2 linked regions of the Rattus norvegicus genome follow. The protein of the gene in region 1 interacts with the protein of each later gene in a pairwise test. Links are inferred from orthologs where the notes say so. Each region holds a gene or a part of one and is shown on either strand. Other genes may lie near its edges.

Region 1 (8,795 bases):
CTAGAATGGTGGTTGCCAGGGTTAGCTTACGTGGGATGAAGAATAGGGACATATTCATCAAAGTGTATGAACTTGAGTTCGGTGTAATGATTAAGCTCTGTATCTATTATGCAGCAGAATGTCTATAAGGTAATGACTACTGTATATCTGTAAACTGCTTTTTCTTGTGTGTTACTATGTGTGTGCACATACATGTGCAAGTATGTGGAAGGACAGAAGGCAACCTTGTTTGTTGTTCCTCAGGTACTATCCTCCTTATTATCTGAGACAGTGTTTCTTAACAAGCAGGCTCCAGTGTGAGCCCATGAGCCCCTGTGAGCCCCTATTTCCACCTCCCAGCACTGGACTGCAAACACGCACCATCCCCTCCCTCCCAGCTTTTTACGCAGGTTCTGGGGACTGAACCCGATTAAGCTACCATGGATTCCGCTATTACCTCTGCAATGAATCTCAGCACTTTCATCTTGCTAGTCTCATGGTAGGAGCGGAGGCCCCAGAGGAACTCATACTCAGGAGGGTTGCTGTTGGGCACTCGTCTGTAGTCCAGGTATCTGAAGAGGAAAAAGTCTGTGTTTATGGGCAGTCTGCAACAAAATACATGCTAAATAATACTGTGCTAAAGTTGCTGCTTCAGGTTTTTATCATCTTGGACTACTACTCTTTCCTGAGAATGTGTACTATGAGAAAAGAGGACAGGCTTTACTAATAACTATGCTGTAAAAACATTCCACCTCAAAGCGTGTCTTCAGTAAACACTTCTGGATAATTCTGTGAACCTACAGGAGTGCTGTAAGTCACGTTTAAAGAACCTTTTCTGATGCAGACCAAGCAGAGCCAGAATTCTAAGGACCACTTACTTCTGCTTTACAAACTCGTAAGTAAGAAGTTTCCTCAGATCGCCAAGGAGGGGATGTCTGACCCTGATGGTGAAAAAGAAAACGACAATCAGAGATTCTGCCTGAAGAAAACTAGAGAGTTACAGACTGTCTTCCTATCTAATCTCATCATAATTTAAGACATCCCCTGCTGCTAAAGGATACTTCAGATGAAGGAGCCCAGTCGTACCCAGGACGTAGTCCCATCTTGCGCAGTGCTTCCCAGAGGACGGCTGCAATAGGAGGCAAGAAGAGAGAAGGCATGGAAAGTGAGCATGGAAATCAGACTGCAGCCAACCCCCAGCTCCAAGTCCAGTCACTCACCCTCAGTGGCACGGTTGCCATTCATGAAGATAATGCCCAGAATCACTAAGAGGAGGCCTAGCTTCGGTGTGTCTTTGGTCCTAGAGGAGTACAAAAAGAATACAGATATATACACACCCAGCAGCTGTTTACACGAAAAACCCCACAAGCTTACCAATTTAGCTTCTCCAGTATTCCTCAGTGGAGATCATTATGCCCCCACTCTGCCCATGACCTCCTATGTGACTGAATACTGAAACTCTTAGGCAAAAAGCATCACCAAGGAAGGCCATAACACATCCCCTTTCCCATCTTACGTTCCCAGTATGCCAGCCAGGGATTCAGGGGTACTGATGAGGATATACAGATGCTCTTCTTTGTCGATTTCCTTGAGCTGGATTCCAAATTTCTACAGAAGCAAGCAAATGACAGCACTTAGCATAACGTGCCAATAGGCAGGCAGTCACAGCGCTGTGAACCTTGTCCTCAACTCCAGTAGTTATCTCACACAATGGAGAATTTGACCGTCATTCTAGTTTCCCAGGTGTGGCTCTTTACCTTCTCCAGGACAAAGCATGCGCGTTCAATGATTTCTGGATAAACATCAGTGTATTCTCGGATGATATCTCTCAGCATTTCTGTAGGAGAGAAGGGAAGCACCAGGACTGAGCTGGAGCACAGTAGCAGCCCCTTGGCCAGGCCTGGTAAGGACAGCCCGGTCAGGCTCCTCAGAGGTAGAATCAGCTATGGGAGGGAGTGGACAGGACATCAGGGTCAGGAGAAGGGCCTACCTGAGCGCTTGATGGGCACCTTCGTGTAGTCTTTAAGCATCAAGTACTTGACCAGCTTATTTGCCTGGGGGGAAATAATTCAAATTAGGTTTGCAGAACACTTGGTTGATTACAAATGGAAGGACCACAGTAAACAAAGTGGAGAGGTATAGCACTTACTCTTTCCTGAAGAAGGGCCACATCTCGGGGCTGTGGAGGACCCTGGTTCTGTGAGGCACGAGAGTTGGGGGAGGATCTCAGATTAGGTGAGGGTCGTAAGTTCTGCCAGTCGGGTGGAATTGGCCAGTCGGCAGGGATCCAGTCAGGTGGAAAAGGCCAGTCAGAGGGAAAGGACCAGTCAGGAGGCATTGACCAGTCAGGTGGTAACTGCCAATCTGGAGGGCCTTGCCAATCTTGAGGGCTCTGCCAACTAGGTGGAGCCTGCCAACTGGGTGGGCTCTGCCATCCAGGTGTACTCTGCCAGGCCATTGGGTTTGGCCAGACAATTGGGCCAGGCCAGACAATGGGGTTTGGCCAGATCACTGGATTCTGCCAGATCACTGGGTTAGGCCAGATCACTGGATTCTGCCATGCAACGGGGTTCTGCCAAGCTGATGGTGTCTGCCTAGCTGGGGGACTCTGACGTGCTGGTGGGGTCTGCCTGGCTGTCTGGTTTTGCCAGCCTGATGGGTTCTGCCAAGCCAGTGGTGTCTGCCACAGCACATTAGGGGGTGCGCCAGGTGGGTTCTGAGTGGTTACTGGAACCGGAGCAGACCTCCAGTTCCCGGAAGCCAGCGAGGCACGCCTTTGGTCCCCATTGCTGTTCTCTTCCACATTCAAGTTATTAATCTGTATCATTAGAGAGAAGAAAATTTCAGGGTCACTATTAATCCTGGCACCCCCAGTAGCTATCCTAGGAAGTCCCTAGGAATCCTCACCTATACCTCACTAGCCATTAGCCACTTGGTTCCTCACTGTCTTTCAGGAAAGCATTTCATCTCCAAACCAGAGAAAGAAAAACACAAAGTGGAGCCCGGGGTTTCTCCCTTTCCTGTGCACTGCTTGGTTTCACCCTGAACTCATTTCTCCCTGACTGTGGTCTCTCTTGCTTGTGAGGTGGATCTTCAAAATCTAATGATAATTCTGGGTGAGCCTGCCTAGCTTAAGACATGGTGTTTACTGTCAAATGTAAGACGGTCTGCACACATACTGCCTGTGTCCTTGTATCAACTCATCATTAATCTGTGGACAACCGGGGGTCAGGAATAAATATTTATTTCAGCTCCCCCTACAACTTTGCCAAAATAGAGATATATATGTGCCCTTTATTTTGTTTGGAGCAAAGGAAATTCAAAGAAAGGAGAGACCTCAAAGCAAAGGGAAGCCAGCAGGGATCTCACCTTGCGGGTCCTCTTGCCCCGAATTATAGTCCGGGACTCCACATTCTGAGCCTGGGAGCCATCTGCTGAGGTCTGGGCTGCTGCACCGTCAGTTTCAGAGATACCTGCACTGGTCCCTACGTCAGCCATTTTGGCCTGGTTTACATTCTGGGTCTGGGCATCAGCTCCAGGGATCTTAGTGGTGTCATTCCAAGCCTTAGCTGTCTTAGGCTGGTTGTTGGTCATCTCATTGGCACTGGGAGACTGAGTGAAATTGTAGGTGGCACTGGGGCCAGCCTTAGTAGTGGTATTCTGACCCTTAAAGGCCATTTCAGACTTTTTAGCTGCTGATTTGCCTGTGGATGCTGCATGGGAAAAATCAGAGGCAGCATGTGGACCTTTAGAGGTGGCATTCTGTGACTTAAAGGCCACCTTAGGCTGATTCTTGGGCATCTCCTTGGCATTACGTGCCTGAGAGTAATCATTTGGCCCCTTTGTGGTGGTATTCTGGGCCTTAAAGCCTGTCTTAGGCCTGGCAGCAGCTGCTGAAACCTCAGTATCAGCCTTCTCATTGGCAGTTGGGGGCTGTGAACTCTGGGGACTAGCATTCGGCCCACTGGCAGCTGCTGTGGCCTGGCTGGTGGGCGGAGCCTCGGAGATCTGGATGGCTTCCATCAAGGTCTGCACAAGCAAGGCGCTGTCTTCTACAGAGGCCTCTGCCTGCAAATACAGGAGGGGGAAATTTTAATCTCTGGGCCTTACAAGCCAGACCTGAAGGAGGGGCACGGCGCAACGCAGCAGGGGAACTGTAGACAGGCGTTACAGTACTCAGACATGGGGGCAGAGGCGGGTCAAAGGGAGGCGGGGCGGGAACAAAATTTAATTAAAGGTAGAGGGGGCAGGGCAAGGTGAGGGACAGTCGGAGGCAGCAGGGGCTGGTGCGGAATGTGGTGCAAGCACTGAACCCCGAATGGGTTTAGAGACAGACTCGTGAGGCTTGCCGTGGGGAGCTCAAGACCTGAGGACGGAGGAATTGAGGAGGATAAACAGAGGAGGGTGGAGGGGGAGTCTCGCGGCGTGGAGAAAGGGAGGGTGGAGGCGAGAGGTTGGGGGATGGGGCGACAGACTGCTCTACACGCGTCAGGGTTATGGAAAAAAAATGGTTCCTTACCCAACCCGCATTCTCTGGGCAGAATGCCCTGACTAACAGGGTCTCCCCTTTCTCTAAGCAGGGACCGATGGCTGAAAAGGGCCGCCCCTCCCCCCTATTCGATAAACGCTAGAAATTTGAGAGCCCGCGGAGTCTAGGCCGGAAGAAGGGCAAAATCAGATCCTGCCATTTGCGCGACCTGAGGGGCCAGGGGTGGGCGTAATCTGTCAGCAAGGAAAATGGAGGAATTGGGAGCGGGGTTCTCACCTGGAAGCCGCGGAGGCCTGCACCGCCGTCCGGTTTCTGAGCCATAGCTCTTGTCTCTCTGGCAAGAGCAGAGCCTGAGGGGGGTGTGGGAGAGGAACTAGGCATTATACTACAGAAGGAAAATACGTAGGACCGAATTGTGTGTGCGCGTGTGGTTTGATTATGGGGGCGGGTGAGGTGCTGGGTACGGGGAGAAACAGGCCTAACTGAAGCGGGAAAAGTAAATGGTCGTCCCGATAGACAATCTAAAATTTCCAGAAGCTGACAGGTAAAAGCTTCAAATCCGCGGTTTGGAATCAGATAAGCGCTCTGAATGCGGTAGTTTACAGGGGCGGGGGGGGGGGCGGTTAGCGGGGAGAGGTTCGCGTCTGTAAAGTTGAATTAAGGCTTTGAATCTAGAGGAATCGTATAACGGATCAAGGTCGGGAAATAGGATTCAGTGAAGGAATTGGATAAAGATTCAGGGAATGAACGGGAGTTCGAATTAGAAAGGGTCGGGAGCGAGGTGTAAGTCCGGGGTAAGGCAGAGGAGGGGGTTTCTGAATTCAGGGAAAGGGGATTGGGATAAAAGAATGGGGGAAGGGCGCCACACCAGGGGGGCAGATGCCCAGTCCGGGGGCGGGTCTCACCTTGCCTCAGGCCCCAACCCCAACCCCCTTCGTTGCTTCCTTCTTCACGACTCAGAGGATCGGGACTGCTCTGCTCCGCTCTCTGCACCCGCACTCTCTCCTTGTCCAGGAGAAAATGCCAGCGCGGCAGCTCGGGCGACCCCGCCTCTTCGCCTAATATACCACCCACCGCCTCAGGAAGCCCCGCGCATGCGCAACAGATCACTGTCCAAATAAGAGTCCCGCTTGCTTTCCCAACAAAAGCTTCATCCTGGAGACCTTGTCGCGCATGTGCACTTGGAGGAGATCCCGCCTCTTTGCCAGCACACTATCCCACCGCCAACCAGGTTGACAGTGTACAAAGGTTCCTCCTCCCCTTCTCCTTACGCATCCACTCCTTCAACAGATGCGCAGCGCCTTTTGGTCCCACCCCCTTGCCCAACACACCAGCCCCCTACCTTTATCCGCAATGCGTCTCTTCTCAGTCCCGCCCTTTTTCCCGAACTCTCTCTAGCCAGGTCCGCAACTACCTCCCACCCACTTGCTTAGAGCCTCTTAGGTAGGCCTCTGCGGGGGGTCTCTTATTTCGACACAAACTAGGCCTCTGCTGAGTTCACGCACTTTGCAATGCAGAAACCTTAAAGGCAGGGGCAAAAAAAAAAAAAAAAACAAAAACAAAACGTGACAGAGCTACCAGGGCAAGGGTCAGCCTGGGGATTCTATAGGTTTCCTCTCACGAGACTCAGAAAATTAGCGTTTCTCTCGCCCTTTTTGCAGTTTTTGCCAAAGAAATATTTCGTGAGGGGTGGGTCCGAGAGGTGAGGGAAGGGCGTAGGGCAGTGGGCTCTGTCCTGGAGCTTGGTTTTCTCACAGGCAGCCTCAGGAGATGGATGGAGGTCAACATTCTCATTTAACACGTCAGGTAGCTAAAACGTAAACCCGCTGTATGGACCAGGGCATTGAGCTAGTAACAAACAGAAAAGACAATATTTGCTTAAACACACTGGTAATCCCAGCACTCCGGAGACCGAGTTCTAGGCCAGCTTTGCAACTCTGAGACTTTATCTAAAAGACAAACAAACATCCATGTGGGGCCTGGATGATCCTGACTGAAAATCTGCTCTGAGAATAGAGGCATTCCTTAATCCTCTATTGGAATAACAAGCTTTCCTCTCCCCAATATTTGTTCCAAGGGAATGAGGCTTGTGTTCTAGGAGGCCTGGTGTATGTGGGAACCCTTCAGGTTCACTCTGTGCTCCTCTTGGCAGGCAGTCTCCAGGAGTGAGACGGCGGGCTTTTTTGGTGCCTGCTGGAGCAGCCAGGGTAGTCAGGTGTGTCTGCCCTGTTCTTGCGGAATGAAGCTGGGCTTGGCTTTAGAATTCCAAGATGAGTGTCTGGCCTATCTGTCTCTGGCTGTGTGAGCCCCTGAGACATGGTCACTTTAGTGGACCTCTCTGAGCCTAATTTACTCACTACACAAAATAGGAATCCCAGGAAGAGAGTCGTGTCCAAGGACACACAGTCTGCTGTGCCAACATGGCTGGAGAAACAAACGCAGAAAAATGGCATACAGATGTGGTGACTCAAACCAAACCCATACGTTCCCGAAACCCCAGGCAGATCTGAGCGCATTTCCCATTTATTCTGGCGTCAGCTCCTGACAGGAGCCTGCATATGAAAGCAAGCTAATGCTAGGAAGGACCGCAGCATTCTGTCCCCAAGGGCCAACATCAATTCTGCCAGGCTGGATGACTTCCCTCATCTGTTGCATAGCAACCTCCCCTGTCAGCTGCCTGTTTTTCCTCAGCACTTCCTCTGTAAAGTGTCTGCAGTGGGACGTGATCAGACTCGGGAAAGGAGGTCTGAGGTGCCATTTTATGTATCATCTGCTTCCTTCTGTGTCTGTATCTTCAGTCATGGGCCAGCCTATACCGCGTAGACTCGTACCCTGCTGCCCACTCCCTTCTCCAGGTGGATATTTTTGATATTCTCAAAATTATTTCCAAATTTATACACACACACACACACACACACACACACACACACACACGCAGGCACACACACATATCCTCCTCACCACTGTTTCCTTTAGTTTTGTTCTTTTTGTCACATGAGATTGGGAACTCCTTTAGGGATGTGGAGTTTGCCTAATTTATTCATTGTTGTACCTTCAGCACGATGAACAATGCCTAGTACATTTTATATTCTCAATAAAGATTGTTTGATAAATGAATGAATCACACAATCTACCCCATTGCTAAAACGAGGAGCCTGAGTGGAAATTTTTTTTGCCCGATAAATTCACTTATTTTTTTGTCATATACAAAGACATAATTTACTATGGAAACAGTTTATAAGCATCACTGACGATTGGAAATGTTATCTAAATGCTATTGAAGTTAAGTAATCATTTTTGAATCCTCACCACCTTGAACCAGTGGCTAAGGCTTTTATACTACCTTTTCATATAGCATTTTTAAGCACAGGCACACAGCTTCTTACATAAATTAGATAGTATGCATGTGGAAAATATTTTACATTGCACTCTTTGGCTTAATACTCCACATTCGTCTTTCAGTTCTATCAGAGGTGCATTGTTACCGTGCTGTTGAAATCCCTGCTTGATCAAAGAGTCATGTTTTTATCATTTGACAAGAACCCGGAGCATACGCGTTTTTGCGTGTTTTATCTTATCAAAAAACTCTTTTTCTGCGTCATTCTTTAAAAATGCTTAACGTTCTTTTCTGCTTCTGTTTGCTCATGTTGTAACAGGGATCCTGGTGTTAGCTGAGTTCATTTTGGGGGAAAAGCAAGGGACTGGCTGCCCACGAAGGACAAAAGACTAAAATATAGGAAAAGCTGGAAGGAGGCAGGGTCACAGGTTCTTTCCTTGGGACTAGGAGGGGAAAGTGGGAGGTGAGAGTCTGAGGGGTGGGTATGAGTCTACATAGGCTGCTTCCTTGTTGTTGTTTTAATTAAAACCCCTGAGCTCCCCTATTTTTCTTATTTCTTGTCCAGATGTTTGTCTCTGAGCAGTACCGTCTTTCTAACTTTCCCTCAAAGTGTATGTGGGTTTATCTCTCGGTGTGTACTCCACATATGTGCTGTCTTTTGGATGCCAGAAGAGAGTTGCGTTCCCTGGAACTGGAGTTACAGAGGTGGTTGTGTGCCACCTGGTGTGGGTGCTGGGAACTGAACTGACATCGGCTAAAACTGCCGGGCTAGCTCCTTTTTTTTTTTTTTTCTTTAAACATTTGTCTGTGTGTACGTAAACAGATTTACATTTCTTTGAGTTAAATGTACAACAGTGCAATATCTGGAGCTTATAGTAAGTGTGTGTTAGCTTTACAAGAAGCTACAGATCTTTCCTAGAGTGGCTGAACCATTTTACATTCCATTAGCCACATATAAGTGCTTTAATTTCTACAAATCTTTCGTGACAT
Region 2 (7,220 bases), on another chromosome or scaffold:
CCTCCAAAACCAGCAAAATAAAGCAGAACAAATGAAAGAAAGCAAATGTGAAGGGATGTGCTCCAGCAGACCTCAAGAGACTCACAGTGAGGCCTGAGGTCACTTAGTGATCCCACAGAAACATCTAGAACAAGTGATCTGAACAACCACACTAGCCCCATCCACTCATACCGCTATGGATGATATGAAATTACTTGAGACACTATCTTATACCTTGTAACACATCCATTTCCCCCAAGGAATGAATATACCAGCGTGCCAGGAAATGTAACGTGAAGCACAATGTAAGGGCAACCTCAGAAGAAGTACCCCTCCCTGACAAAGATGGCGGTGAACAAGGGGAAAAGAGCAATGAAGAGAATCACCTCTGATACCAATCTCACTGGAGAGGCCCAGAAAGCACATACTGAACCAAGAGATACCTGTAGAAACCATTAGGCAAGTGACTGTTGTGCAAAACATAGGGGAGAGTTTCTGCACTGGGAGAAGCTGGGCACAGCCAAGTCCTAGGCAATTCGAAAGAGGGTTCTTTGTGTCTTGTTATGTTTTTGACATTGAAATTTCTGTGTTTCCTTGGACCAACAGAGTCAATGGGGGCAGGAAGCACAAGGATCATTGCAGTTTTTTCTAATTATCCTCAACCCTGCCCTAGCAAGGAGAGCAGAAAACAAAAGATAGCAAGCAAAAGAGAGACACTGTCTCATGGCCAGAGGAAGCTCACTGGGACTAAACCATGGATGCTTACAGTAACTAAGATCTGAAAGAGGAAACTGTGTTGAGTCCCCTAAACTGCACCATGGAGAGCCAAGCAGAATGTTCCAGATGCCTCTCAGTGTGATTCATGCTGCTAAATGTATCATATTATAGAACGGCTTTGTGACCACCCATATTCATGTTAGGAAAATTCCATTTCTTTAAAATAGCAGTTGTAAAATTGAAAGAGGACTCCCAAGCTACTGCAAGTGGTCCAGAAACCATATGGCCCAGTGATTTTTATAGATGAAACCCACACCACACAAACTCCACACATACTCTTTAACATAGACACAGATGTTGTTTGTGATAAGTAGAATTAATTTCAGTGTTCATAAACGTATACCGCACTCCCTTAACTGACAGATGCTAAGGGTATATCTATCATCAGAGCAAATGAACATCTTGTTAGCTAGCTGCATGAGAATTTTGACTCAAAAGAAGAAGAAGAAAAAACCCTTGTTTTTGAAACAAATAGATTTTGATCTGGATCTGGACCAGGTAGCATGTCACATGACAGATTTTTTTTCCCTCTGGGCCATCTGTCCTAACCCTAAAGGACAAAGAGATTCAGACATTAACACTTGCAGCATCTCCTCTGTATGACTTCCAGCTGTGAGTATTTTGATGACATCTCTGACTTATCCCTGTAGCCTCAGGTAAAGTTCAAGATAATCAAAAAAGTCCAGGCAAGAAAATAGACCCTTAAGGGTGAGAAACTGGGGTTAGCTGCCTGGCATGTCACCATGAAGAATTTCGAGAGTGGCCATTAAGAGGATACAGTTCAAAGCCAGCATCACAGTGACACTTGATGAATAAAGACAGACCGGATAGCAAGACATCCCTCTGGCTTGACATGGCAAAGAGAATATAACTCCTGCAGCTACCCATCAGTCAAGCTGGTCCCACTGCTTTGCACACACTTAACCTCGACTCTAACTTCGAATGCTCTGCATTTTTCAAAGTCATCTTTGACCTGAGAGTGCCCGAGGGTATCTTCGTTCTGCAAGAGTTAGAGGGCTTAACTCAAGGTTATTACTAAATGAGAGAGCGATAAAAGTGCAAAAGTTGACCTTTTCCTCTGAAATGTCAGGACTCAAGCCTGGGTCTCTTAAATATTAGGATGCCTGCTCTGCTTTTGTGTCACACGCATACTTGATAAGCAGTGTGTGTGTGTGTGTGTGTGTGTGTGTGTGTGTGTGTGTGTGTGTGTGTTAATGAAATAAAAACAAAAGATCCAAGCTCATCTCCCCAAATCATGAAGCTCCTGAGTTATAGACCAGGGCTTCCTGTTCATGCAGAGAATCATATGAACTTTGCTCACAATGGACATGGCCTCTTTATTGTTTTTGCCATAGAGCTCTCCACAAACTCTTAGAGGAGTCTCCAGGCAGCCCACCTTTGTTCTGAGTCAAATGTTAAGGATGTAGTTCTTTGGTTGAAGGCACAGATGCTTATGACCACTACTGGGATGTCATGGATAAACAGAAGGACTACATTTCGAAACACAAAACATTATCTGAGCCTTGTCAAAGCTTTGTCCTTTGCCACAGCAGAGACTAAATAAATAATAAACTCTTCCCTTCCCTGGGTAGATTGTTCAAACATCTTCTAGAAAAATATTCAGGGTCATGATGACCTGTGAGAAAGCAAAGTCGTCAGTCATGTATTTCCTTGGGGTAAACAGTGGCTTCTGGCTAGTTCTGTTTCACTATGGTGCCTAGACCAGGCTGCCCTTTGCTGCATACTAAATACCCTTGATGTTTCATCCAGGAAACGGTATGATGCAAAAATCAAATCAGATTTAGAAACTGGTAGTTTTGTTGTTGGTGGGGGTGGCTGATTTTGAAAACCTAGCTTTATGCTGAACTAGCCATTCACCACAGCTGCAGTACAGTGCCTGGGGGACAATTGGGAGAGAGTCGCTCCTGGGTTACTTTTCCTGGGTAAGCAGGAAAGGGCTTCAACATTTATTTTAGTTATAAAGTGAGGTCCTGGGCTGCTGGATTTGGGATCATCAATAGACCTTATCATCCTTAATAGATGAGCCTATTTTCTGCTTGACATTTAAGTTACTTATTAGAAGACGAGCAATTGTCAAAGCAGAAACCCCATGAGCTCAACTAAAACAAATAAACATATCCTGCCACCCCTAAGGGGACCTCCCACTCTAAACTCAGGACTTAGATGTAAAATGCCTTCACCCCATAACAACATTCTACCTTAGAATGATAAGTTCTCAGAACTCCCACAAGGAGGAAACCCGAGGATGAAGGTAGTACTTACGCCAAACATTTGTCGGAGGTCTGGATCCCGGAACCGGAAGGGGATGTTGGACACATGCAGCCGCTTGGGCTGGGACTTGTTTTCTGTGTTTTCAGAAGGTTGTGTCTGGGGCTGGCCGTCGGTCGGGGCGGCATCATCTGTCTGCTAAAAGAACAAGAAGAAAGAAAAGTTGCTGAGTAAGTCCCAATATCCTCTCCCATCCCGTTTAGGGCAGGATGCGGTCCGTAAGCGCTCGCTCCCACAGCCTGCTCCTTTCTCCTACATGGCAGGATGCTATCCGACAGAGATTTTTGGTCCTTTTTCTAAAATTTTAATTAACAGCAAAAAAAGAGTTTGTTTTGAGCATCCACTGAGTGCCCACACATGAATCTTTGATTACATATCAATCAAAGCAGTCAAAAGCCCCTGGCGTCATGCAGTGCAACGATCATGGGGCAAGGCACGATAAAAACCGTTCATAAATAGATATAGAATTGGGAAGAAGGAGATAAGCATTGTAGGAAAAATAAAGGAAGCATGAGGGGCTGGGGGTTCAGGGTGGGTAGTGGAAAACTCATCAAAAAGGGAGTAAAGATCATTAAAAATGAGAACATGTATCCCTCAGTGCTGGCCAGAGTCTTAATGCTACGCATACAAAAATACTGAGGCTGTACAGGTAAAATATTAATAAATGTCAAAAATTTGCAAAGGCCCTTTGGTGGTCTGTACTTCATCCAGTGAATAGATGATTCACTCAACTTTATAAAAATATTTGTTAACTTAGCTTCTTCATTGTACGAATCTATATTGTCTACTGCCACGGACCCTATGAGATCATTTCAAGGAATGGACACAAAATAACGCATAAAGGAGTTTGCATTTCTTGCATTTGAAATGCTCAGTAGCCACACGTAGGTAGTGCCTGTGTTTGGGAGAAAAAAACGCAAAAACAGAATATTGCCATCTGTACAAATGCTCTGCTAGGCTATGCCGATGCAGATGATGTAAGGCTACTAGCTTGGCCCGCTATTTCTTTCTGTTCGTCATTCAGAAAGGTTAGGGAGGGGCTGGGGATTTAGCTCAGTGGTAGAGCGCTTGCCTAGGAAGCGCAAGGTCCTGGGTTAGGTCCCCAGCTCCGAAAAAAAGAACCAAAAAAAAAAAAAAAGAAAAAAAAGAAAGGTTAGGGAACTTTGTTTTTCTGTACTTTCTCTGCAATTAGCACATTCTGCCTGTAGGTGGCAGTAGACACAGTTCACTTAAGTATGTCTTTAAAACTACTGTTGGAGGGTCTTTGCCAAAGCTGAAATTCACGAGCAAGGAATCATCCTCATCTATTTATGAGCAATTTAGAGGCATATAACTAGGACAAAAACTATCAGTGCAGGCAGCCAGGTGTAAAATAATAGAGACTTAGAGGAGACAATCTTACATAGTGAAATGTGAAAGGAACACCCAAATAACAGGAGCATAATTAGCAGTCTCTCTGCAGCTCTCCTGTGGGCTAGAATAGTTTATTGGCGTCCTCCTTCCCCTTGCACCCTGAATTACATGTTTAAGTTGAGCCCTCCTGGCACCTTGTGCACCACCCATCTAAACCGATTTGGTCTCTGAAACCCTACCAGACGCCTTTGTCAATTTTCAAGTACAAGGCGACCCTGACAGCCATGTTATTTTGCTTGAGATGTGAAGAGGATGTGGGAAGAGTTAGGAAAACAAAACCAAATATAATGCAGGCAGTACATTGTGGGGGTGCAAGCTGAGTACGCTCAAGTCGCACTTGCCACTGGAGGTCCCAGGACACATCAACTCTAGCTTAGTAGAGATGTGTACGAGGAGAGGTGGAGGGGACAGATTCTGTGCCAGAAGAGGGCAATGCATGTGTGAAGAAAGAAAGAAGGAAGGAGAAGTCTGCCACCTTGGGGAGGCCATGTAGAGCCAGAGAGAATAAACAGAGGATGGGCAGAGAGGCAACTTGAGAGGCAGGTAGAAGTTGTAGACCTAAAATAGCCTTGTATACAAAAGCAAGTGGCTGTTAGAAGCCACTTAAAGATGACAAGAGGACTGAGTTGTGACCGGCATGCTACGTAGATGTTAAATGCATGTTGAGTGATTGGCTGATGCGGTGACAGACTGAGAGTATGAAAGATTGGTGCACCACTAATAAATGAATAATAAATACAGGGGCGAGCATCACCGGTGTCAGCTTTGAGTGCCAGTTAATGAATAGCTATGGAGGCTGGCGGAGGTCCACTTGGTGACGTGCTTGCCGTACAATCATGAGGCTTGAGTTTGTGTTCCTAGAACCTGCATAAAACTGGGCATGGTGGTTCATGCATGTGATCTCAGCATTCCTACAGTGAAATAGGTGGTGGATACAGCACTATTCTTGAAAGTGCACAGGCAGCTGGTCTTGTTTGTACAGCAATAAGGAGAGACTTTCTCAAACAAGAGATGATCTGACACTTGAAGCTGCCCTTCGATCTCCACATGCACATCATGGCATGATACACACACACACACACACACACACACACACACACACCATCATTCCATAACCCAGAGACCCACACAGACTATTCACTGTGTTTTGCTTTTGTTTTTTGTTTTTCCTAGTAACAGCACATTGGGTTCCACATCAATGACAAAAAAAATCACCTTTAAACCATGATGTTACTACCTTGCCAAAGACTAAGAGGTTTCAATGCCCTACCACAAGACCCTAAGTTGGCACGATCAATAGCTAAGATCCCACGTTTCCAATCTACTTTCCCCACCCTATTGGAAATTGCTATGTGAATAAAAAATTAAAATGAGTTTCTCCTCCTCCCAGGAAAGGGACTTAGACTTGGATTTGTGCACAATTGCTGAATGGCTCAGTTTAATAAACCTAATTAGGAATTACAGAGATTATGATTAAACATATTAAATGATTAATAGCATTATGCTGCTCATGTAAAAATTAAAATTAATCATCTCTAGTCAAACAGGACTTTGGAGAAATCTTTGTGGTGTTTCCTTTGATAAAAACATACAATGCTTGATTAATCATTTTGTAGTGTACACATTTATACAAATACCCATAAATTGTTATATAGGCATACCTATGGCAGAAATAATTTTTTTTACTGAAAATAAGTAAAATGAAATCCAAATTTGTATAGGTTGGTGAGAAGGAGTGAATAGAGCCTCTATGGGATGAGAGAGAGAAGCAAAGGAGAGCATTCCAAGCCGAGCATGCCTGTGCCCAAGGTGATGAGTTACGTGGCAACCAGGGCTATGGAGTTGCTCCCTGCAATATGCAATCCTACTGTAACCAATGGATAATTCAGATCAGGGCCCTTTACATCTCTGTGCCAGTGTTTACTCATCTATGAGAGTACAATGATAGTCCATGCCCTCCAGGCTTAGGACAAGGATCAAAATGTGAGGGTAGGTACAAGTGGCTATCACTTCAGATCAAGGAGTGGCCACCATATATACTGACAAGAGTACTTCCAACTTTGTTTGGGGCCTAAGTGGGCCTTTTCTACACGTGTCTCTTAGAATCTTCAGGGAAAGCATACCGGGGACAGTCCTGTGCTTTTCTATGACTGCTAGGGTTTAGATTTGGTATGTCATCTGCATGGGTGAGCTACAGGCTTGCTAAGTAACCGTTTTGTGTTTGGGAGTGAGCAGCACCCGGAAAGGTGAAGTGCCATGGAAGGAAGTGAAGTCACTGGCATCATTACACCTTAACCTGCTCCTTGTTTCTTCATACTGCTACCATCGAATGCACGGCCCTTCTCTGTACCTCTCCACAGTGTGCTGTGCGCCAATGACCAAGGGTCAAAAGCTCTGAAACCATCAGCGAATGCCCCTCCTTGGTTTATGAGCTGCCGTACTATCACGAACAACATGATCTCTGGGTTTGTCCCTGATTGGATTGTCACAAGTTTAGTGGCTTAAACAACAGGACTTTCTCATACCATTGCAATGAGGATGAAAATCTGGAACAGAGGTATCCGGAGAACCCAGTTTCTTCTTTGTTTACCTCTTCCAGCTTCTTGGTTTGGGGCTTTGAGATCCCTATGTGCTCCTGTCTTCACATGACCATCTTCCTTGGGAGGCTCACTCAAGTCTACTCTAGCTTTTCCTTCTTACCAAGACATTGGCCATTAGATTGAGAGCCCTTTCTAAATAAGGATGCATTGAGATAACTTATT

The links. The genes of interacting proteins can lie anywhere in the genome.
Region 2: the proteins of Maged1 (region 1) and Rbfox1 interact in a two-hybrid assay, tested with the Homo sapiens proteins (2 studies listed by BioGRID and IntAct). The link is inferred for Rattus norvegicus from reciprocal best matches to the Homo sapiens genes MAGED1 and RBFOX1.

What each region holds. Positions count from the first base shown.
Region 1 is NC_086039.1:63,417,512-63,426,306, forward strand, and holds the start of Maged1 (melanoma-associated antigen D1), read right to left. Parts: upstream 5,475-8,795; 5' UTR 5,374-5,474; intron 4,819-5,373; 5' UTR 4,790-4,818; coding exon 4,745-4,789; intron 4,048-4,744; coding exon 3,349-4,047; intron 2,798-3,348; coding exon 2,129-2,797; coding exon of another isoform or gene 2,098-2,128; intron 2,034-2,097; coding exon 1,970-2,033; intron 1,844-1,969; coding exon of another isoform or gene 1,817-1,843; coding exon 1,737-1,816; intron 1,588-1,736; coding exon 1,496-1,587; intron 1,280-1,495; coding exon 1,200-1,279; intron 1,109-1,199; coding exon 1,066-1,108; intron 921-1,065; coding exon 858-920; intron 552-857; coding exon 437-551; intron 1-436. UniProt on the Homo sapiens protein: Involved in the apoptotic response after nerve growth factor (NGF) binding in neuronal cells. Inhibits cell cycle progression, and facilitates NGFR-mediated apoptosis. May act as a regulator of the function of DLX family members.
Region 2 is NC_086028.1:8,785,157-8,792,376, forward strand, and holds part of Rbfox1 (RNA binding protein fox-1 homolog 1), read right to left. Parts: intron 3,184-7,220; coding exon 3,040-3,183; intron 1-3,039. UniProt on the Homo sapiens protein: RNA-binding protein that regulates alternative splicing events by binding to 5'-UGCAUGU-3' elements. Regulates alternative splicing of tissue-specific exons and of differentially spliced exons during erythropoiesis.